Linked DNA regions of Alligator mississippiensis. The protein of the gene in region 1 purifies or fractionates together with the protein of each later gene. This does not show direct contact. Links are inferred from orthologs where the notes say so. Each region holds a gene or a part of one and is shown in the gene's direction. Other genes may lie near its edges.

Evidence for each region. The genes of interacting proteins can lie anywhere in the genome.
Region 2: the proteins of DNAJB1 (region 1) and PYCR3 purify together in Homo sapiens (affinity purification with mass spectrometry; 3 studies listed by BioGRID and IntAct, with this or other methods). This does not show direct contact. The link is inferred for Alligator mississippiensis from reciprocal best matches to the Homo sapiens genes DNAJB1 and PYCR3.

The regions. Positions count from the first base shown.
Region 1 is NC_081831.1:24,775,953-24,786,048, reverse strand, and holds DNAJB1 (dnaJ homolog subfamily B member 1), read left to right. Parts: upstream 1-5,510; 5' UTR 5,511-5,620; coding exon 5,621-5,831; intron 5,832-7,710; coding exon 7,711-8,279; intron 8,280-8,389; coding exon 8,390-8,620; 3' UTR 8,621-9,677; downstream 9,678-10,096. Other genes in the region: TECR (very-long-chain enoyl-CoA reductase), read right to left, coding at 804-818. UniProt on the Homo sapiens protein: Interacts with HSP70 and can stimulate its ATPase activity. Stimulates the association between HSC70 and HIP. Negatively regulates heat shock-induced HSF1 transcriptional activity during the attenuation and recovery phase period of the heat shock response.
Region 2 is NC_081826.1:2,212,373-2,222,593, forward strand, and holds PYCR3 (pyrroline-5-carboxylate reductase 3), read left to right. Parts: upstream 1-5,623; 5' UTR 5,624-5,657; coding exon 5,658-5,739; intron 5,740-5,853; coding exon 5,854-5,918; intron 5,919-6,045; coding exon 6,046-6,225; intron 6,226-6,320; coding exon 6,321-6,533; intron 6,534-7,173; coding exon 7,174-7,266; intron 7,267-7,910; coding exon 7,911-8,093; 3' UTR 8,094-8,308; downstream 8,309-10,221. Other genes in the region: protein brambleberry, read right to left, coding at 207-348, 516-722, 1,228-1,407, 1,596-1,712, 1,933-2,155, 3,972-4,157, 4,359-4,487, 4,665-4,874.

The DNA.
Region 1 (10,096 bases):
TCCAGAGAGAGGTCTGGATCCTTAACACACTGAGGGCTAAACAAAACGTTGGCTCACAGGGACTGCTGACATTCAGGGAGGCAGCTCCCATGCAGCTAGGTCCTCTGAAGTTGCCAGGCTACAAGCTGCGCTAGGAGGGGAGTGTGTGCAGAGCTACCACCACTGTGTGGAGGCCTCTGTACCCTCCCACCTTCTTGGCAAGGCTGTGTGGACACCCTCCATATGCAGCCTCCCCTGGGAACAGCTCCCTGGGAAGATTAAGCAGGTTGGCTGGCTGGGCAGACCAGGACTACTAGCAGCCCCCACCCGCCCCAGGCCTCCGCAGAGCCCAGATAAGCGGATATAGGAGGCAAATGAGGGCAGGCAGGAGACAGCCGTTGCAAGCTGCTGCCTGGAGCATGCACAGGCCTGGGCCGTGCCTGCAGCCGGCGGACAAGGCTCTGCGGCAGAGGTTACAGGCAGCAACCAGGCGTCCTCAGCCCCACTCAGGGCATGCCCCACTTTGTCTCACACGTGCGCATGCGCGAGTTTACCCCGCCACCCTCATCGCATCTTGTGCGCCTGCGCACGTCCAGCCTCTTTTCTGCGTACACGCCGCCTGATTTGATCCACTTTCCTCTGCGCATGCACCCTCTTGTTCACCGAATCCACGCAAGCGTACTGGCTCGCTCCAGCAGCCAGTGCATGCGCAGTGCGCGTCCGCTACCTCTCAGGGCGGAGCGCTCCGGCAGTGGGCCCCTCCTAGCGAGGGAGGGGGGCGGGTCACGGTCCCGGTGCGAGGGGTACGCCGACGGCTTCCTCACCTCATAGTGCTTCATGGCTCCGCGCTCCGCACCTGCTGCTCCTGTCTCCTGGCGCGCGCCACCTTCACGTGATCGCGCCGGACTTCACCTGGGGGGCGGAGCCTCCCCCGCCGGGCCGACAAATCCGAGGAGTCCCGGCCGAGGCTTCGCAGCCAATCAGAGTGAGCGAGGCGCAACGCCCCGCCCCAAACGTCTCCATAGGAACGGTAACGCGTGACGACGTCCTGCCTAACAGGGAGCACTGAAGGCGGGTGGAGTGACTGGGGGACGAGCCAATCGAGTTACGGGGTGGGGGGGGGAATGGGGCCCGCCCACGCACGTGGCCACGGCAGGGTTTCGTGGGGGCTACCGGGGGCAGGTGGGCATGGGGGGTGCGATCCAGGGGGGCCGGGGCCCTGTGGGGGCATGGGCAGGCTGAGGAGGGGCATTTGCAGGGCTATGGGGGTAGGGTCAGGACCCAGCCCTGCAGTACTGCTTCAGACTCACCCCAGACTCAGCCGCCTGGAGGGCACGGGGGTAGGGCAGAGCCGCAGCCCCGTGACTCACGCGGTGAGGGGGGCACCACACCCTTTCCGCAGCCCCAGGAAGGCTGGGCAGGGCAGGGCATGGAGCTTGGGGGAACCCAGGTCAGGCCCTGGAGCCAGCAGGGAGGGCCAGGGACCCTGACCAGGGACCCTGCTGCTGTTCCCTGATCCCCAGCATGCCCAGCCCATCCACAGCTGCATCAGGGCACCCCTGGGTGCAAGAAGCAGGGGGGTTGAGGGGCTGGCTTGCAAGGAGCTGTGAAAGTCAGGGTGGATTTGCACATTACAGACTATATCTATGCTTAAATATAACTTAAATATATATAGACTGCATAGAGACTAACTGAAGTCCAAGCAGCTGCCATCCATTCCCTTCAGGGGAGCCAGAGGGGGCTGTCAAGGCTGCAGTAGCAGCAGGCCCCTGTGGGGCAAGCCGCTGGGCATTATGAGGTGCATTGTGGAAGCCCGGCCACAGCCAGGGTGTAAGGTGCTGTACAGCATTAGAGCACAAACTCCAAGACCCACCAAGCTAAGACGAGACACCAGCTGGGAACGGCTGGGGGAAGACACAGGTTCAAGCGCATGGTACTGCATGATTCGTAGGATACTGGAGGAACTCTGCTGCCCAGAGCAGCTGGTGTCCAGCAGGTGCAGACCCCACACAAGTCCCCAGCCCTGCCCATGCAGGCTGGGAGTTTCTAGCATCTGGGGCAGGGCAGAGCTGGCACAGAGATGGGGGTCCACCTGTTGTAGGGAATCGGGGAGGGCAGGGGCCTCAGGGCACTCCCCCCCCCCCCGCCTCCCCAATTGGCTTCCAGTGCTAGGTGCTGGGCTGCTCAGCTCACACCCCCAGCTCAGGGGTAGCGGGAATATACAGAGCCCCTGGTTGGCCCCACCCCAGCTGCTCCTGCTCTGACATGCAGAGTGCAAGCAGTGCCTGGGCAGGTCCCAACCCCCACGCTAATCCCTAGAGGAATTCTGCTGGCTCAGGTCCTGGCTGCATTTCCAGGCTAAACCTAGATCTCAGAGCACGGTAAGGTGGGGGAGGGTCAGGGCTTGTCTATAGAAATGCCCCCTGCTGCTGCACTAGACTAAAGAAAAACACCTCCTTTCTACTCCATGTAGCACCCAGCTGGAGGCAGGATGCAGCCACCTCTGGGGTGGGACAGCACTGCCTGGAAACAGGAAAGATGAACAACCCAAGCAGCAACTGGAATTGAAGCTGCTGGCCCAGCTGGAACCCAGCCAGGCCAGGCCAGCTCAGCTTCTGGCAGGGGAGAACTCTGCCGCTTGTAGGACCCTCTCTGGCCTACCTGGGATCACAGCTGGGGTGCTGGGAAGGAGAGACCAGCCCTGCACCGCGCCCCAGTGACTCACAGCAGGATCATTTCTCCATGGATTCCTTCCAATTTAGCCAGGTCACAAACAGCCCTGATTTTACCCTGAGGGAAACAGAGGCATGGAGGTGGCAACGTGACGGGAGTGTATGGCAGGGAGAGAACCCAGGTGTACTGGCTCCTAGTGTGTCATTGTTGTCATTGTCCCCCCAGCTCTCGTTCTGTCCAGCTAGACCCTGCGTTGCCCCCAGAGCTGGGACAAGAACCCAGGCTTTCTGTTCCTAGCCCCCTGCCCTATCCCATTAGAGTCTACTGTCCTCCCAAGAGCTGGGAAGAGAACCTAGGCATCCTAGCTCCAGGCCCCCTGTTCTAACCACTCAAGCCCAACCTCCACCCCATCCGCAGTTGTGGATAGAACATGGGCATCCTGACTCTCAGCTCTACACCATTAGAGCCCACTTCCTTTCCAGGGTTGTAATAGAACCAGGTGTCTGGGCTCCCTACTCTATCCACTAGATTCCATGTCACTCCCAGAGCTGGAAGAAAACCCAGGTGTCTGGGTTTCCAGCCCCTAAGAAGCCCTCCCAGTCCTGTCCACTGTGGTCCTGACCCAGACCCAAGGCCTCTGAGGGGGCATCCCTGGGGCCTTGCTAGCAGCACCCCAGAGGACAGGGGATGGGGAACTACCATTCCTCAGCAGGGCCCTGATCCCTGTATCTGGGGCTGCTCCTGGCTGGTTGCCCTGGGGCCTGGTGGTTCAGAGCCTGCTGAGCCAAAGAGAGTCTGGCACTGGGGCAGGGAGGCACGTGGGTCCTGGGGAATGTGGGTCCAGCCCTGATATCAAAGCACCTTGCCCGACAACCCAGGCATTATCCACAGCTTCCTGCCTGGGTCCTATCCACACCACAGCAGCTCTGAGGCCCCAGGGGAGTGTTGGACCCAGCAGGTGACTGTGGAGCAGCTTGTTTGCATGGCATAAAGTTGGGTTAGGATCCAGCCCTATGTTTACCTGCTGCTCTCTGTTCCTGCCTAATGGCTATAAGGGCCATACTTGGGACATAGTTCCCTGTCAGTCTGCCTCCTCCTGGCACCCTCTGACCCCAGCCAGCTGCTTCGGGATCAATACACACACAGACTCTTCAGATCAGGTTCCGAGAGCAAGTGGGGTGCAGTCAGGGGCAGATCTGGGGGGATGGGGGGGGGTGCAGTGGTGATTCCTGGTTTCTCCTCCAGATGTTAAAAACTAGCTGCCAGCAGAGGTAGCAGTATTTCTATTCATGCAGTGTGGGAATTCAACTGACTTCATAGCTCATCATATTCTATCTAGTTCCTGATAATCTTTTCACTCAACTGGTGTTAAGGGACCCTCTCCTTTTTCAGTAGTTTTGATGTTCCACTAATCAAGCTCTCCTTTCTTCTGCAATTCTACTGTCTGTTCACTGATCCTGGTCACGTAGCTCTGATCACTCAGCCCCACAGACACTTTTAACTCTATCTAAAAACATTGATTCAGGTGTGAAAACCTTAGCTGAGGTAAACATTAACTGAGGTGTGGAAATAACTTCCAGAGAAGCGTTGGAGGTACCATCATGATGCTCAAGAAGGCTTGTTTTAGTTTTATTAATGTAAAACCCATTACATTCTAATGACTGCAGGGCTAATGAAACAATGTCTTTTAATTATTTTTTCTGAGTTTGTTTTGTTTTTATATGGACTATATGATACACAAAATTCATACACATCCCAACAAAGCTATATCTGATTGTGTTTCTATCTTAAACTACATCCAGCCCTAAGCCCCTAATATAGAAACTTTACTATTATTTTTTAATTGGAGAAAAATACGTGTTGTGTTGCACACAATGAGGCACCACACCACCTGCACCCCCCTTTCAAATTCTAGATTTGCCCATGGGCAGTGTTACAGGGGCTACATCTCCCCAGGCTCAGTGGAAGAGCAGCAGAGGCGGGCTGTGTTTGTGTGGGGGAGCTAGGGGACATAGGTGTGCGCGTGCTCGTTGGGTTGAACCTGGAGGCATGGGGCTGGAGGGAGGTGCTTGTAGGGTTCAGCAGATTGCTCTTGGGGGTCAATCTCTTAATGAGCTAGGCACAGAAAGGAGTTAGTTGGAGAAATGCACTGCTGATACAACGGGTATTGGCAATGGTGAGGAAGAGTGGAATATCTTGCATGTAGCACACATGGGTGGGGAAGGCCGCGTGGTGAGCAGCTCCCAGTAGCCGCAGGAGCCAAAACTGGTGTTCACTGGGAGCTGGGTCTGCAGCTGAAGGCAGTGGCCTGCTACAGGGCCTGACCTTGGGCAGACTCCCTGCACCTTCTCCAGCCCTGGTGCAGGTGGGTTCCACCCCCTGGTCCCCTAGCCCCATCCCTGGCCAGCTACTCCCTGTGGTGGGGCAAGAAGCTATATGGGGGAGTCTTTTTGCTGCCTGGGGGGTAGCTTTTGGGGGGCTCCAGTAGCCTAGGGTGACGGGCACGTGGTAGGGAGTCCTGTTGTTGGGTGCCCCAGCTGGGACGTCATTGGCACCCCGGGGGGGGGGGCAGGGCTTTGGTGGGCGTAACTTCCCCCTGTAGGTGTGACCAACACTGCGCTCTGTAAGGTACGTCTAGCCTCTGGTACATACATACTCCCCCTCCCTTTCCGGAAAGGGGGCGTGGCTTTGTCGCTCCCAGCGTCCCTCTCTTATTGGCCCTCACAGAGGTGAGGGCGTGGCCTTGACGACAGTTACCCCCTCCCCTCCACCCCGCCCTCACACAGGCAGGTCCTCGCGCGCCCGCCCTCTGTTGGGTCACGCGCCGGCAGCAGCGGGCGTCCATTGGCTGGGGCGGCGGGGCGGAGCGGAGGCTCCGGATGGTTGTGGCGCTCTCTGGAACGTTCGGAGCCCAGGTATAAATGGGCTGAGACTGGGGCGCTGGCGGCGATCGCGGCCGGGCGGCGCCATGGGTAAGGATTATTACGGCACGCTGGGCCTGCAGCGCGGTGCCTCAGACGAGGACATCAAGCGGGCCTACCGGAAGCTCGCGCTGCGCTACCACCCCGACAAGAACAAGGAGCCTGGCGCCGAGGAGCGCTTCAAAGAGGTGGCCGAGGCCTACGACGTGCTCAGTGACCCCAAGAAGCGGGAGGTCTTCGACAAGTATGGCGAGGAAGGTGAGCGCCCGCGCCGTGTGGGGCTTTGGGGCTGCAGGGTTGGGGGCGGGGAGAGGATCCCAATAGCAGCGAGGCTCTGCGGGGCTTGCTGCACAGTGGGAGGGGTGTCCCAGGGAGCGGGGCCTGAGCCGCTGGGGGGGGCAGGGCTGGGGGGGAGAGATGCCCCGAGGGACCCGGGGGCGGGTCCTGCTCCATAGGTGGGAGAGGGGAGTCGGGTCTGCGGGCTCTCCAGGGGGAGTGGGGCTGTGGTGGGGAGCTGGGAATGGAGTGCAGGCTGGGGAGGGGAGGTCTGAGAGGAGTTGGGCTGTGGGGGAGGGCACTGGGGGGAGCTAGCCTGTGGGTGGAGGAGGTGACAGTGCAGGGTCCCCCAAGTGCTGGCCAGGGGTCAGTGCTTTACTGCCCTGGGCTGGGGCTTGCAGTGCAGAGTTGCCCTTTGAGGTAAGGACTATATCCTGAGGGAGGGCTGGGACCTCTAAGGGAAAGGGCATGAGGTGCTGGGAGACTTGTATCCCTGGCTTGGGTACATGGTGAGGGCCTTCCTTGAGGTGTGTGCCAGTCCACAGCTGTCTGCATAGGCTTGATTGGCCTGGGGTGCCCAGGGCAGAAGCACCTCCCCCCCTCCCCCCCCCCCGCAACCCTTCCCTAGTTCCAATGCTGGGTTGGAGAAGATGAGCCTGATGGGTCTTCTGAGGGGAGCTGTGGGCTAGGGCTGACCAGTGCTGCCCCTGGCGCCAGCCTAGCTGTGGAAACGGAAGTCAGGAAGCAGCCAAGCAGGACTGACTTGAGGAACAGGGGAGAGACCTGCAGTATGTGGCATCTTAGAAAAAAGTGGATACAGGCTCTTGCTACCTGTGCGGGCTTGGAAACTGGCCAGATGAATCCTTATCTCTTGCTGCTAGCTGCTAACTTTTAGCTTTGACACTGTAAAGAGTCCTTATTTCATGCTTTCTTGGGGCCTGTTCTAAAGCTGAAGGACAAGGACCTGGGGCACAGTGTGCTTGCCTGACTCCCCACCTTAAGGGTGGAAGTGTCAGGATTGGTCTAGATCAAGCCTTTAATTTAGCACTGAGGGCACACAGGCTTGTTCTACTGCTCCTTGCATGAGCCTTGCAGCTCCTGGCTCATACCTGTGACTGAGCTGTTGCTTGGAGACAGTGGGTGAGGAACCAGAACTGGCAGAACAGGAGAGAAAACATCCTGAAACAGCTTTGCAGTTTTTGTAAAGCTGGCCTGTGTTCTTGGTAGACATTGAGCTTGCCCTTGTGTGCCAAAGTGTTGGCAGGTCTGTGTGGATTGGCTGTGTTGGGAGAGGTGGAGCCTTGCAAGGGCGTGGCTTGGAGTTACAAGCAAACAAATATGCTAGAATCTTCTGTGTTAACTTGAACTCCCTGCAGCCCCTGCCTTAATCTCCCAAGGCAGGAAGAGCTTGCCTTGCTGTTTCCAAGCACCCTCAATTGCTATTGTGCCTCTGGGGCTGCTGTTAAGCATGTGTTTTCCTTCAGTTCAGGAATAGGAAGTCCATAGGCTCCTACGTTCCCTGCCTTGATATGGGGAGGGGGAATGTTAACCCAAATGATACAATCAAATTCACTGTATAAACTGATCTGTGTTTGAAAAGCTGGAAGCTCTGGATATCAGAACTCTTGGAGGTGACTCTAATTTCCCTTGTGATTAGAGAAAGTACTTGCCAGGTCAAGATGAGACTTCTCTTCTGTGAGGCACCTCAGAACTGAAGGATGAGACAAAATGACAATGGTGGTGGGAACAGAGGCCAAAAGCTTGGATGGTTCTGGAGCTGGGGATCTGGAATCCTGGGGTAAGCACATGAGTGAAAGTGGAGACTGATAAACTAACAGCAGGTTTATTGCCTGTTTTTCAGGGCTAAAAGGAGGTGGCTCCAACATGGGAGGTGGTGCTAATGGCCCATCATTCACCTACACGTTCCATGGAGACCCTCATGTTGTGTTTGCTGAGTTCTTTGGAGGCCGGAATCCCTTTGATACCTTCTTCATGCAGAGGAATGGGGATGAAGACATGGACATTGATGACCCTTTTGTCACCTTCCAAATGGGAAGTTTCAGCAATGCGGGTTTCCCCCGCACCCGAGGGGGCCACAACAGCCTTCGCCGGAAGCAGGACCCTCCCATCACGCATGACCTGAGGGTCTCCTTAGAGGAGGTCTACTCGGGCTGCACCAAGAAGATGAAGATTTCTCACAAACGTCTCAACCCGGATGGGAAGACGACACGCAACGAGGACAAGATCCTAACCATTGAGGTGAAACGGGGGTGGAAGGAAGGGACCAAGATCACATTCCCCAAGGAGGGTGACCAAACGCCCAACAACATTCCAGCCGACATTGTCTTTGTTCTAAAAGACAAGCCACACAGCATCTTCAAGAGGGATGGCTCGGACATCATCTTCCCAGCTAAGATCAGCCTCCGAGAGGTGAGTTAGGGGGTCTGGGTACAGGACTCGCTGGAGTTCTAGCTTTGGGTCTGGGGTGTACAGACCTTTTGTTGAATTTCATGGTCTCTCTGACTTGTCTCTCTCTGCAGGCCCTGTGTGGCTGCACGGTGAACGTCCCAACGCTGGATGGCAGGACCATTCCCATGTCATTCAAAGACATCATCAAGCCTGGAGCAAAGCGCAGGATCACTGGGGAAGGTCTCCCATACCCCAAGAACCCAGACCAACGCGGGGATCTTATCATAGAGTTTGATGTGCGGTTCCCAGACAGAATCCCCCAGACATCCAAGAAAGCTCTGGAGCAGATCCTTCCCATCTAGTTTGTGCAATCTGTGGACCTGAGACCAAGACTGGCTGAACACCAAAGCCTGTGGGACCATAGCCTTGGGCTCCAGGCTGGGGCTCTGGGAACTTGGTTTCAGTGCCTTGACCCAGAACATTGCTTGAATCACCTACACCAGTGAGCTGCTACATTTGGGAGGAGCCTACAGACACACTGCTGACAAATCATCTTGTAAGGATGTGACCAATGACTCAACCCACTGTCTGCATCCTGGGCAGCCCTAAATAGGACAGCTGCCTTGCACTTCATCTCTTGCTGAGTTGGAATCCCTTCACCATGTGGGGGGCATAAACTCCAAACTGGACAGTCCTTACTGTTGTAGTCCTTGCTTTGTGTCTTGTGTTCCTTGTTAATTCACTGGAGAACTTTTATCCTGGGTCACTTGGATGTTCTTGGCTATGAATTCCCACCTCAGAGTCCTGCCTGCCTATTTTGTTTGCTGGAAGGTGGATATACTCTCGCTGAACTTAATTGTGGGTCTGTGAAAATAACCCTGGTAAACACTAGGGCTTAAACAAATGTCTTGAAGATGAGATGAAATGAATAAGCCCTGGAGTTTAAACCAGTAGCTATCCAGGCCTAGAAAAATAATGCAAAGGGATTTCCTGGGTCTTAAATATAATCTGCTTTTTCAAATCTTTTTTCTGAAGAGACTTTCATAGATGCATCCCTCTACATTCTTGGGCTCAATTCCTGGTAGGGCAATGGGCTGAGCAGGTATTGCCTGGTTCTTGCATCTCTGCCAGCAGCAGAGTCTGACTCCTTTCCTTACTCACAGTTGCTGTCTTAAACCAGAGGATTTTGGCCAACCACTGAACTCTGGGGCATTTGAGGCCTTGGCCTCTGAGCTTGTTAACACCACCTTTGCTATCCTTTTTTAATTAAAGGGTTCCTGCTCCTGGTACAGGAGCATTACAGCACTTCTTGTACATACTTTGTATAAAAGTTGTGTAAATTTGACATGTAATTAAAATGCAGTGGAGAGGCTGGTTTATTTTATAGGATTGTATCTGAATTAAAGACTCATGGGAGGAGCTGGTGACCTTCCCTTTTTTTAAACATGCAGCACTGTTTTGAAGTATGGCTGGACTGACAATTTTCAGTTACTAATGTGATAAGACCAAACTGGGGTTACGATTAAAGTCTTGGTAGCCAAAGCCCTGTGTGGCCTTATTTGGGGGAGAGGTATCTGTCCTGATGTGGGAAGCAATATTGAGTTGCACTTGTTAGACACTGAGTGGCTCAAAGTGGCCTTTCCCACAGCTGCTGTTATTTTACTAAGGCAGGGTTTTAAATAGGCTAGATCCCCACTGGGAAGGGTGGGGACAGTGGGTGTAGGGCTAAGATTAGGTGAAGCAACTGCAATGTAGATTCCCTGCCCTGCGTGGAACAAAAGATATGCAGGTGCCAGCTTAAAAGAGCCAAGACCTACGCTCACCCAGATCTTTATTAA
Region 2 (10,221 bases), on another chromosome or scaffold:
CTACGTACTGTGCACCGGCCCCCACCATAGATGCAGATTCTCCATGACCGGCAGGGGTGCCAAGTGCTCTCACTACCCATCTCCTCTGCAGCACCTGGCCCCCACCTTGCACCCAGGCGCTCGCCTGGTCCAGACACTGACCAAAAGCCCTTTGGGCCCTGGCTCGTAGCCGAGGGGCTGATGCTCCCGAGGGTCTCTCCTCCTACCTGTCCGGGGTGGAGGTCCTGCGGCTGCTGGGATCAGCCCTGGCCCCCACGGCTCTCTGGGGAGTGGGCAGCAGGGTGAGCCTGGGCTTCTGGCCCTGCACCCTCCAGGCCCCATGGCACACACTGGTCAGCAGCCAGTGCCCTGCATAAAGAGGGGGAAATGCAGCCACGGTCAGCCCAGTGCTGCTCCCACTTGCAGAGAGCAATGCAGTTTTCCCCACCTCGGGCTGCTGGGTCCATGCATGACCCTGGCATCCACCCAAACCTGGCAACCCCGGGTGCAGAGGAAGGGAGCCCAGCTGTACCCACCCATGATGACGAGCACCAGGAGGGCAGTGAGTGCCGGGAAGCCCAGGGAGGCAGCGCGCTGCAGCTCGGAGAGTGCATTGGCCGCCACCAGCACCAGGAGGGCGGCACGGGGCAGTCCCGGCGTCTGCAGGAAGGCCAGGAGCAGGGCGGCCAGCAGGAAGTAGGCGGCATGCAGCGTGCAGGTGGAGATGGCCCCCAGGCTCACCCCTGCGAGAGGAGGGAGCAAGGTTGGTTAGGCATCCCTGGGCACCAGGCCAGCTCCTGGGCTGGCACCGGGGCCCTGCCGGTCCCTGCTCAGGCTGGGGGTTGGGGGGTGTCAGTGCACCCCCTAACTCCACCTGGAGAGGAAGGTCACCAGCTAGAGCCACAGGGGAAAGGACAAGAGCGGATGGATGGTGCTCCAGTACTGAACAACCTAGGGACGGCCAGCGAGGGCTTGGACAGAGGCTACTTTAGGAGCAGCAAGGACACGCGGCTTTATGCCAGGGGTAACTATACCCCAGGGCAGCCATGTGTCTGCTCCACCAGCCCAGGGTATCTCCCCGAAGGAGATGGGCTGCCCTAGTCGCCACGTGCTGCAATAGCACCAAGTGTGGCTGGGGTGTCTGCTCCTTACCCCAGGTTCAGTTACCCCACGGTAAGTGCTGCGTCTGTTCCCTAAGGCCTGCTCACACCGAGCTGTGGAGCCCAACCGGGTTCAGCCCCGTGTCACCTGTCCAGGCGATGACGCTCTGGACGTGCTGCAGCCGGCTCTCCACGCTGCTCTGCAAGTGCTCCACGGCGCCCAGCACCTGCCCCAGGCTCCGATTCACCCGCTGCAGCTTGCCCATCAGCTCCTCGTAGTACAGGCCTGTCTGGCTCTGGTAGGACTGGATCAGCGCCAGGTCAGACTCTGGGGGTGGAGGAAACCCGGAGCCTAGTGCCCATGCTGCTGGCAGGGGGCAGCTGGCTCTGGCAGGGGGGTCCCATCCAGGGCAGGGCCAAGGGTCCCAAGGAAGGGAGAGATGGTGGAGACTGCCTATGCCAGCTGCCATAGTCCCAGCTGGGAGCATCCAGCCCATGCCCCTCCTGCCCCGGTACCGATTTTGGCGTAGACCTGCTGGGTGCGGCTCTGCACGCGGCCGAGGTCGGCCAGGATGGCCCGGTGCCCCTCCTGCAGCTCCACGTCCTGCTCGCCCAGGTGGATGCTCATGTTCTCTGTGGGGCAGAGAGGGGCAGGACCCCCGTGAGACCCCATCCCATGCTCAGCTACGCCTGGGACAAGGAGCCTCCAGCCAGCTCCTGCGGCCCAGGGAGGGTCATGCCGGGGCCAGCTGCACCTTGGGGCCCCCTTCCAGACCTCCCACAGGAGCTCCAGGCCACGGGGATTGCAGGGTGGCCAGTGGGCACCATGCATGGGACAGTGCACCATGCTCACCCATCTTCCTGGTGATGCCCTCGATGAGCTGAGCCACCTGCTGCTGCCCGCTGGCGATCAGGGCTTCCTCCTGGGCTAGCTGCTCCAGGTTGCCGCGGAGGGAGGATGCCATCTGCTCCTGGCCGCCCTGCAGTCTCTCCTGCTCCACCAGCAGCTCGTGCTGGCCACGGACCACCCGCTGCAGGGACTCCTCCGTCAGCTCCTTCAGCTCCTCCTGCCCGTCCTGCCGGAGACGTGGGGCCCAGCTCAGAGCCCTGCGAGGAAGGCAACTCCCCTAGCAGGGCTACCCATGGGGGGCAGAAGCGTGGCTGGGGGTAGGCTACCAATCCCAGCATGCCTTGCTTTACCTTGTAGTTGGGCAGGAGCAGTACAGAAGCTGGGATGGACCAGAGCGGTGATTCTCAACCGGGGTGCTGTAGCACGCTGGGGTGCCACAAGACTGTTTTAAGGGTGGCACAGCATCACCACTGTCAAGCCCCTGCCACATGTTGCACTTGAGATGCCATTAACCAAAAATTACATCTTAGGTTGCAACTCGGCCACACGTTACAGCCATTAACGGCACTGTAAACCAAGGAACAAGCCACAAAGGTGTTCCACAAAAAAACAGGTAACAACTTTGTCGCTGGTTTGCATCACACCACTAGCTGAACTAGTGGCCAGGTGCTCCCCATGGCCATGACCCCCCGCCGCTGATGGGTCTTCTCAGCTGTAGGGGAGCACCATGACCCCCCCCTTCCCTCAATCAGCTGAGGGAGCTCCCAGCTGCAGGAGCTTGCTGGTACAAGGGGAGCCTGGGATTGTGACAACAGGAAGGTCTTTTTCCTCCAGCATGTCATTAAAACGTGGAGCTTGTCACCACCAGACGTGGTGGAAGCTGTGAGTTTAGCCAGGCTCACAAAGGGATTGGACATGTTCTTGGAGGAACAGGGCATCAGTAGCTATTAAGCACGGGAGCGAGGAGCACGGCCTCTGCGTCACAACTGTCTCGGGACTGATTTAGTCCACGGCAGGACTGATGCGACACCAAGCTCCCCCTGCACTAGCAGCAAGGCGTGATGGGAGGCTCAATCCCACAATCGCACCTCTGGCCATAATCACACCTCCGGCACACGTGGCATGGCAGGAAGCGTGATTGCGTGGATTGTGCATTAGATCCCATCACACCTTTACCTGCACATCTGGTAGGGGCCGTAGCTCTGCAAAACACGTACATGCGATTCACAACATAAACCCAGAGATTTCAAACAGGAATCATAAAAAATGAGGGTTGGAGGGATCTCCGGAGGTCCCATCTAGTCCAACCCCCTGCTCCAAGCAGGACCAGCCCCAGCTACATCATCCCAGCCAGGGCTTTGTCTACCCGGGTCTTCAAAACCTTCAAGGATGGAGACTCCCCCACCTCTCTGGGGAGCCTGGCCCAGTGCTTCACCACCCTCCTCATGAGAAAGTTCTTCCTAATATCCAGCCTCAACCTCCCTTGCTGCACTCCCGCGTCCAAACCGTTCTGCGCTGCTGTGGGCTCGCTGGGCTGTTTGCAACAGAAGAATTGCTCTAGGACTTGGTCATTGTCGGACATGGGGTGAAAGCAAAGAGCCGGTATTTTTGGAGAGTGCCCCAAGTCGAACGGGGTTGAGAGAGTATGGGAGAAGCCAGGGTGTTGGGGCGATATCTTTTATTGGACCAAACACATGGCAAGTAGGCGGCATGCAAGCCTTGGGGCACAGAGGGTCCTTTGGGGCTGAGAAAGCCACAGCCTCCAACATCCTGCTTGCTTAAAAGGCTGTTCATGTCCCCTCCAGAAAGCCCAGGCCGTGCCCCCATTACAGAGGAAGACCAGTAATGGAAGGGATTTCTCCCCAGTATGCACCAGTCTGAGTTGGGGGGAAATCCCTTCCTGCCCCCAGGGCAGCATGAGCGTGGGGGCAAGACCCTCCAGCCAGGACCCTGCGGGGTTGGTGCCAGCTGGCCACACTCTGGACCCAAGCCCCGCGTCACCCCAGCTGCCCGGCAAGTCAAGTCCTTGCTGGGACACCCACCTTGAGCATCCTCATGGCCTCCAGCTGGCCGGCGGCCGTGGAGACCAGCGCGTTGACCGTCTGCTCCGTCCGGCGCCTGAACTGCAGCTGGCGGGTGGCGTAGCAGACGGCTCGGGCCCGGTTGCTGACGATGTGGTAGGCGTTCCAGGTGTCGGGGTCCATGCCCGCCGTGCACGCCGCGAGGCTCTGGGGGAGAGGGGGCCGGGCAGGGTTACGGTACAGAGCCGGGGCGCAGAGCAAGGGGAGACTCGAGTCGCGTGGGGGGCACCTGCATGGTGCAAGAGGGCTGGGCAGCACAGGGCAAAGGGCGGGGGTGCAACGAGCTCCACCGCCCCCATGCAGACCGAGGGAGGGTCTCGACCCGGCTGCCCCAGCGGGACCCCGTACCATGCCGGCGGTGCAGGGGTAGGTGCGGCGCCCCTCGGCGCTGGCCTGGCAGTTGAAGAGCGACACCCCCAGCTTGGCCACCTCCTCCTCGGCCATGTCGGCGCAGGACGAGCGGAGCCGGGCCACGACCTGCGGGCGGGCAGGCGGGAAAAGCACCGTGACGCCAGGGCCCGACTCGGTTTCCCTCCCAGCCCCGGCGCAGACCCACGAGGGCCCGGCTGCGCTGGGAGACGCACCCCGGGGCTGCCAGCAGACGCGGTCCCCGGGGAGCCCAGGGGCCACGCCGCCCAGGGGCCACGCCTTCACCTGGTGGTGGCACGCGTCCAGCGCAGACAGGTCCAGGAGCCGGGCCTCGGCCAGGAAGCGCTCGTCGCCCGCGCCCATCTCGAAGGGGGCCGCAGGGCGGGGGGCCGGCGTGGGGCTGGCCGGGGGGCCACGCAGCCACCCGAAGAGCCCGTGGCAGGGCGCGCACAGCAGGGCGGGCAGCAGGACAGCCCAGCAGTTCCACGGCAGCATCGCTGGGGGCGCGGGGACGCTGTGGGGTGAAGGGGCCGGGTGGGGTTTAGGGTAGGGGGCTGCCGTCCCAGCCCCTGCAGCCTCCCCGGGCCAGAGCAGGGCCCAGCCCCGTGGCAGTGGCAGGAGCCCCACGTGCACACACGTGTGCGCCGTGGGCCACAGCCCTGTGCACTCAGCACTAGGGGAGGGTGCCTGTGTGCACACACATGTGTATGAGTGTGCGTGCCTGGATGCACACAGGACCACGCATGTGCATGCCTGCGCACATGTGCATGTGGGGGAGCATGCACGCCTTTACATGCATGTGCATCCGTGCATGCATTGCCCGTGCATGTGTAGCATGCCCAGATACGCATATGAGTGTGTGTGCACATGTGCATCCGCGTGCGCATCGCCTGTGTGTGTGTGTGTGTGTGTGTGTGTGTGTGTACACACGCATGAAGTCAGGTCCCACCCCTACCGGGAAAGGCGCAGGAAGTGGGCGGGACCTGTTGCTGAGCAGGTTACCATGGAGACGGTGCAGCCCCCCCCCCTTACCTGGTTACAGAGCAGCCGGAGCAGGGGAAATCCCCCGGGGGCCCCTATGACGCCACCGGCCCGTGACACCGCCCCCAGCGGCAGCCAATCCGCGGAGCGAGGGCGGGGCAAGCTCGCTCGGCGTGGGTGGGGGGCGGGCACGCGGGGCGGGGTCCAAACCCCCACGTGGGGGGCCACGTGACGCGGGTTCATGCGCCCACGTGGGGCGCGGGGTCACGCGGGCGGGGCGGGGCCCACGCGGGACGCATGGAGCCGCCGGGGCCGCGCGTGGGCTTCGTGGGCGCCGGGCGCATGGCGCTGGGGGTGGCCCGCGGGGCCGTGCTGGCAGGTGGGGCCGGGCCGCTGCCCCCACGGGCATCCCCCTATCTCCGCCGGGGCTTGGGGGTGTGGGGTGGGGAGGGGAGGGGGGCCAGGCGCTGACCCGTGCCCCGTGTCCCCCCAGGGAAGGTGCCGGCTGCCCAGGTGTGGGCCAGCGCCCCCAGCACCCGCAACCTGCGCGCCTTCGAGGTGAGCCCCTCGCGGGCGGGCGGGCGGGTGGGGCGGGGGGCGCTGGTGGGGACCCAGGTCCGAGGAGGGGGAGGTGCTGGGCGCGGGGCTGACCCGCCCCGCCCCGTCCCCTCCCGTCCCCGCGCAGGAGCTGGGCTGCCGGACCACGCACAGCAACGGGGAGGTGGTGCAGAGCTGCATCCTGGTCTTCCTGGCCACCAAGCCCCACGTGCTGCCCGGCGTGCTGCAGGAGATCGCCCCCCTCGTCACCCCCAACCACGTCCTCGTGTCGCTGGTGGCGGGGGTCACGCTGCAGACCCTGGAGCAGGTGAGTGGCGGGAGAAGGGCCCCGGGGCGGGCGGCCCGCCCCCCGCCCCGCCCCGCGCGGCCCCGGCTCGGCCCCACCTCCGTGTCTTCCTGCAGATGCTGCCGCCCGGGACCAAGGTGCTGCGGTTCATGCCCAACCTGCCGTGCGTGGTGCAGGCGGGGGCGGTGGTGTTCGCCCGGGGGCGCTGCGCGGGGGAGCGTGAAGCCGCCGTGCTGCAGGGCCTGCTGGCGGCCTGCGGGCTGTGCGAGGAGGTGCCCGAGTCCTACATCGACATCCACACCGGGCTCAGCGGCAGCGGCGTGGCCTACGTGAGTGCCGGCGGCGGGACCCCGCGGGCCTGCCTGGGCGCCTGCGCTGCGGCCCGACTGCAGGCGCGCCCGAGTGTTGCTCTGCGGCTTCGGTCCGGGCGTTTGGGGCTCCCTGACCCTTGCACGGGGCCCAGCCGTGCTCTGCTGCGGGGAGCACCCCCTAGGGTGGGTTGGGGCCTGGGTGTCCCTTGCCAAAGGAGCACATGGCTGCCCTGGGGTAAGCTGGACAGACGGCGCCTGTCCCAGGACAGCCTGCACCCGTGTCGTCATGCCCCTTGCTCTCCTAGGGGTAGCTATCTGACACGGGCCGCGGCAGGTCTCGTCGTCTCCTCTGCTTCACGCCTAAGCCGAGGCAGATTACGCCGGTGTAACCATCTCGTCTGTCCGTGCCCCTGAACTGGCCCCAGAAGGCCCCCCACTACCTCTTGCCTTGCCAGGCTGAGCGCTCTGGCCTTGACCTCCGCCAGACGCTTTGCGTTGTGGGCACGACCCACGAAGGATCGTGGCAGGATCCAGCTGTGATCCAGTGGGACCGGGGCCGCCAGCGCAGGGTGGAGCACGTGGCTCTGCCGGGCTCCGTCCTCCAGAAGCAGCAGGTTCACGGCCGTGGGCTAATGGTGGGCTGTTCTCCCCCCACCAGGTCTACATGTTTGCTGAAGCCCTGGCGGAGGGAGCAGTGAAGATGGGCATGTCCGGGCCCCTGGCCAGCCGGATCGCTGCCCAGACCCTGCTGGTGAGCACACACCTGGCTTGCCTGCCAGGAGCTCCCCGTCCTGCCCTTCCCGGGGCGCTCTGTCCCCAACCCCTGCTCCTCCAGCCCCAAGCCTCCCTCTGCTGCAGGTCTGGTTCTGGGGGGAAAGTCCTTGGTTGTGTCCCTACCTCCTGCTTCCCTGTGGCTCCCTCTCCCCTCCTGGGGACTCTTCTCCAAGGGGCTGTGGCACTCCCAGCCGGGCTGGCGTCCCCTTAGGATCCAAGCAGCTGGAGACCACTTGGCTCCAGCCGCTGGAGTCTTAGGGCTGAGCTGGGGGAAGCCAGGCAGATGCCTTGTAATGGCTGAGGAAGCATCTCTATCACGCTGGGCACTGACGTTGTTGGAAAGATCGAAGCCGTGTGAGCAGAGGAGCTGGAGTGCAGCTTAGTGTTAGGCGCAGCACCAGGTCACCAGTCCCAGCCTGGTCTGATCCCCCCTGGCCAGGCTCTTGGAGGCATCGTGAGCAGGGGTCAGGCACCTACCTCGTGCATGCAGCGGGTTCCTTGAGCTGGGTGGATGCCACGGAAGTGCGAGAGGAGGGAGCGTGTGGCCGTAGCATGGGCTCCAGCAGGAGCAGGGGTGCTGTGAGATGCACCCCACCCCCCACACCTTGCCTCTGCCTGCAGGGAGCAGCCAAGATGATGCTGGAGACAGGGGAGCACCCGGCCAAGCTGCGGGCGGATGTGTGCACACCCGGCGGCACCACCATCCACGCCCTGCACGAGCTGGAGAAGGGCGGGCTGCGGGCTGCTGTCATGAACGCCGTGGAGGCTGGCACCATTCGGGCCCGCGAGCTGGGCAAGAACTAGGGCCTGCAGCGCAGCACCATGGAGGCTGCCCGGAGCATGCCAGGCCGGGGCAGGTGTCGCCCTCCTAGCCCTGCTCCTTCGTGGACGTGACTTTCACTGCCCAGGGAGGCGGCTTTCCACGGGAGGGTTGGGACCTGGGCCTGCTCTGTGCCTGCTGGTTGTGCTCTCAGTGGGCCACGGCTCCAATAAATGGTGCAGGCAGCTGCTGTGCTGTTCCCCTTGGCTCCTCGGGGTCTCCTGTGTCCTGCGATCATGGAGAAGCCAGGCTGGAAGAGACCGGCAGAGGTCACATCCGGTCCAACCCCTTCCTGAGGCAGGATCAGCCCTGTGCAAACCAGCCCAGACCCATCCATCATCTAAACTTTAAAACTGCTGTCATCCCTGACACGTCACCAGATAGGGCACCCTTCCTGCCCGCAGTGCAGCGTCGGTCTGAGCCCGAGCGGAGGGGCAGGATCCTGCTGGGTTGGTTCCATCAGGAGCATTGGTGCAGCCCAGTAGCTGCCCAACCTCTCCTTGAACACCTCCAGTGACGGAGAGGCTCCCACTTCCCTGGGCTTCTCTCCCTGCCCTGACACCATGGAGGTTTTTCCTGACATCCAACCTAAACCTGCTTTGCTGCAACTTCAAGTCATTGGTGTATGTGTTGCTGTCAGGATTTGCAGCTCCTGCTTGGCTGAGCACCGCCTGCATGTGTCCCGGGGGTCAGTGCCACATGTCATGCTCCCAAGATGCTCTGGGGAGGAGGTTGGATGTGCTCTCTGGCTCGCAGCTGGACCCCTGGCCTCCCACAGCCCTGCTGGGTTTTGGTTGGAGCAAGGAGGGGAATAGCAACAGGTCCTAGCAAAGAGGAAGCCCCTCGGTGCATCCTAGGAGCCCTTGGACTTTGTTGCACTCTCAGCTCTGGCACTGCCAGGCTGGCCAGTGGCACCTGGTCTAGATGCAGAGCTGTGATGAGTGACACCACGTCACCTGAAGATGCTGTCTGCTGCCCCGGCCAGCTGGGAGAGTGGTCAGCAAGGCTGAGCACAGCAGCTCCTGTGTCCTGGGCAAGGCTCGGTGCCTGTCCCAAAGCTCAGCATGGCCAGCCCCGGCTAACTGAGACCCATCTGACTCGTAGAGCTGCATTGGGCCAAGTGGGGCACCGGGAGGCTTTGGCAGCAGGGAAAACGCAGCTAGGACAAGCCACCAAGGCTGTCAGCTGTGCTCCATCCGCTCGGACCCTTCCCTGCCCTGCACCTGTGGGCCTCTAGCAGGTGGGTGTTGCTCCAGGTGGCACCTGGGGGGACCAGGAGAGATGCTGGTGGCAGGTGCTGCTGAGGAGAGCGGATCCTGCCCCCCCAAGCAAAAGCGATGGGAAAGAGGGTGATGTGTGTTCTCCCAGGCCGTCTCCTCTCCGGCCAGGCAGGAACTGGAATTCCTTCTACCAAATTATCCCAGTCAAAGATATCAGCACCATCTCCAGGCCTATGGACATTTCCAACGCTCACCCTGGACATTTCCTGCTGGAGCCGGGGGCAAGTGATTAGTGAGGAGAGGCTGAGGGACCTGGGTTGATTCAGTCTGGAGAAGAGAAGACGGAGGGGGATTGAATAGCAGCCTTCACCTCCCTGCAGGGGGGCTGCAAAGAGGATGGAGCTGGGCTGTTCTCAGTGGGGGCAGATGGCAGGACAAGGAGCAATGGGCTCAAGCTGCAGCAAGGGAAGTTGAGGTCAGATATTAGGAAAACCTCTCTCACCAGGAGGGTGGTGAAGTCCTGGAAGAGGTTACTCAGAGAGGTGGGGGAGACTCCGTCCTTGGAGGTTTTTAAGCCCTGACTAGACAAAGCCTTGGCTGGGATGATGTAGTTGGGGCTGGTCCTGCTTTGAGGTCATCATTGGGCTAGATGGGATCTCCTGAGGTCCCTGCTAACCTTAATCTGTGATTCTCAGAGTGCAGAAAAAGCTGAGTTTTTTGGGGGGGAAGAAGGTTGAGAGAGGACCAGGCCCAAGCAGACCCAATAACGTGACAGTGAGCCACAAGCCCAGGGCCCATCCGCAGTCAGCAAAGGCCAGGAGCCCTGGGACCGGCTGTCGGACGTTCTGGGATGATCCTGAACTTGGGGACGTTTGTCCTGAATTTGAACCGT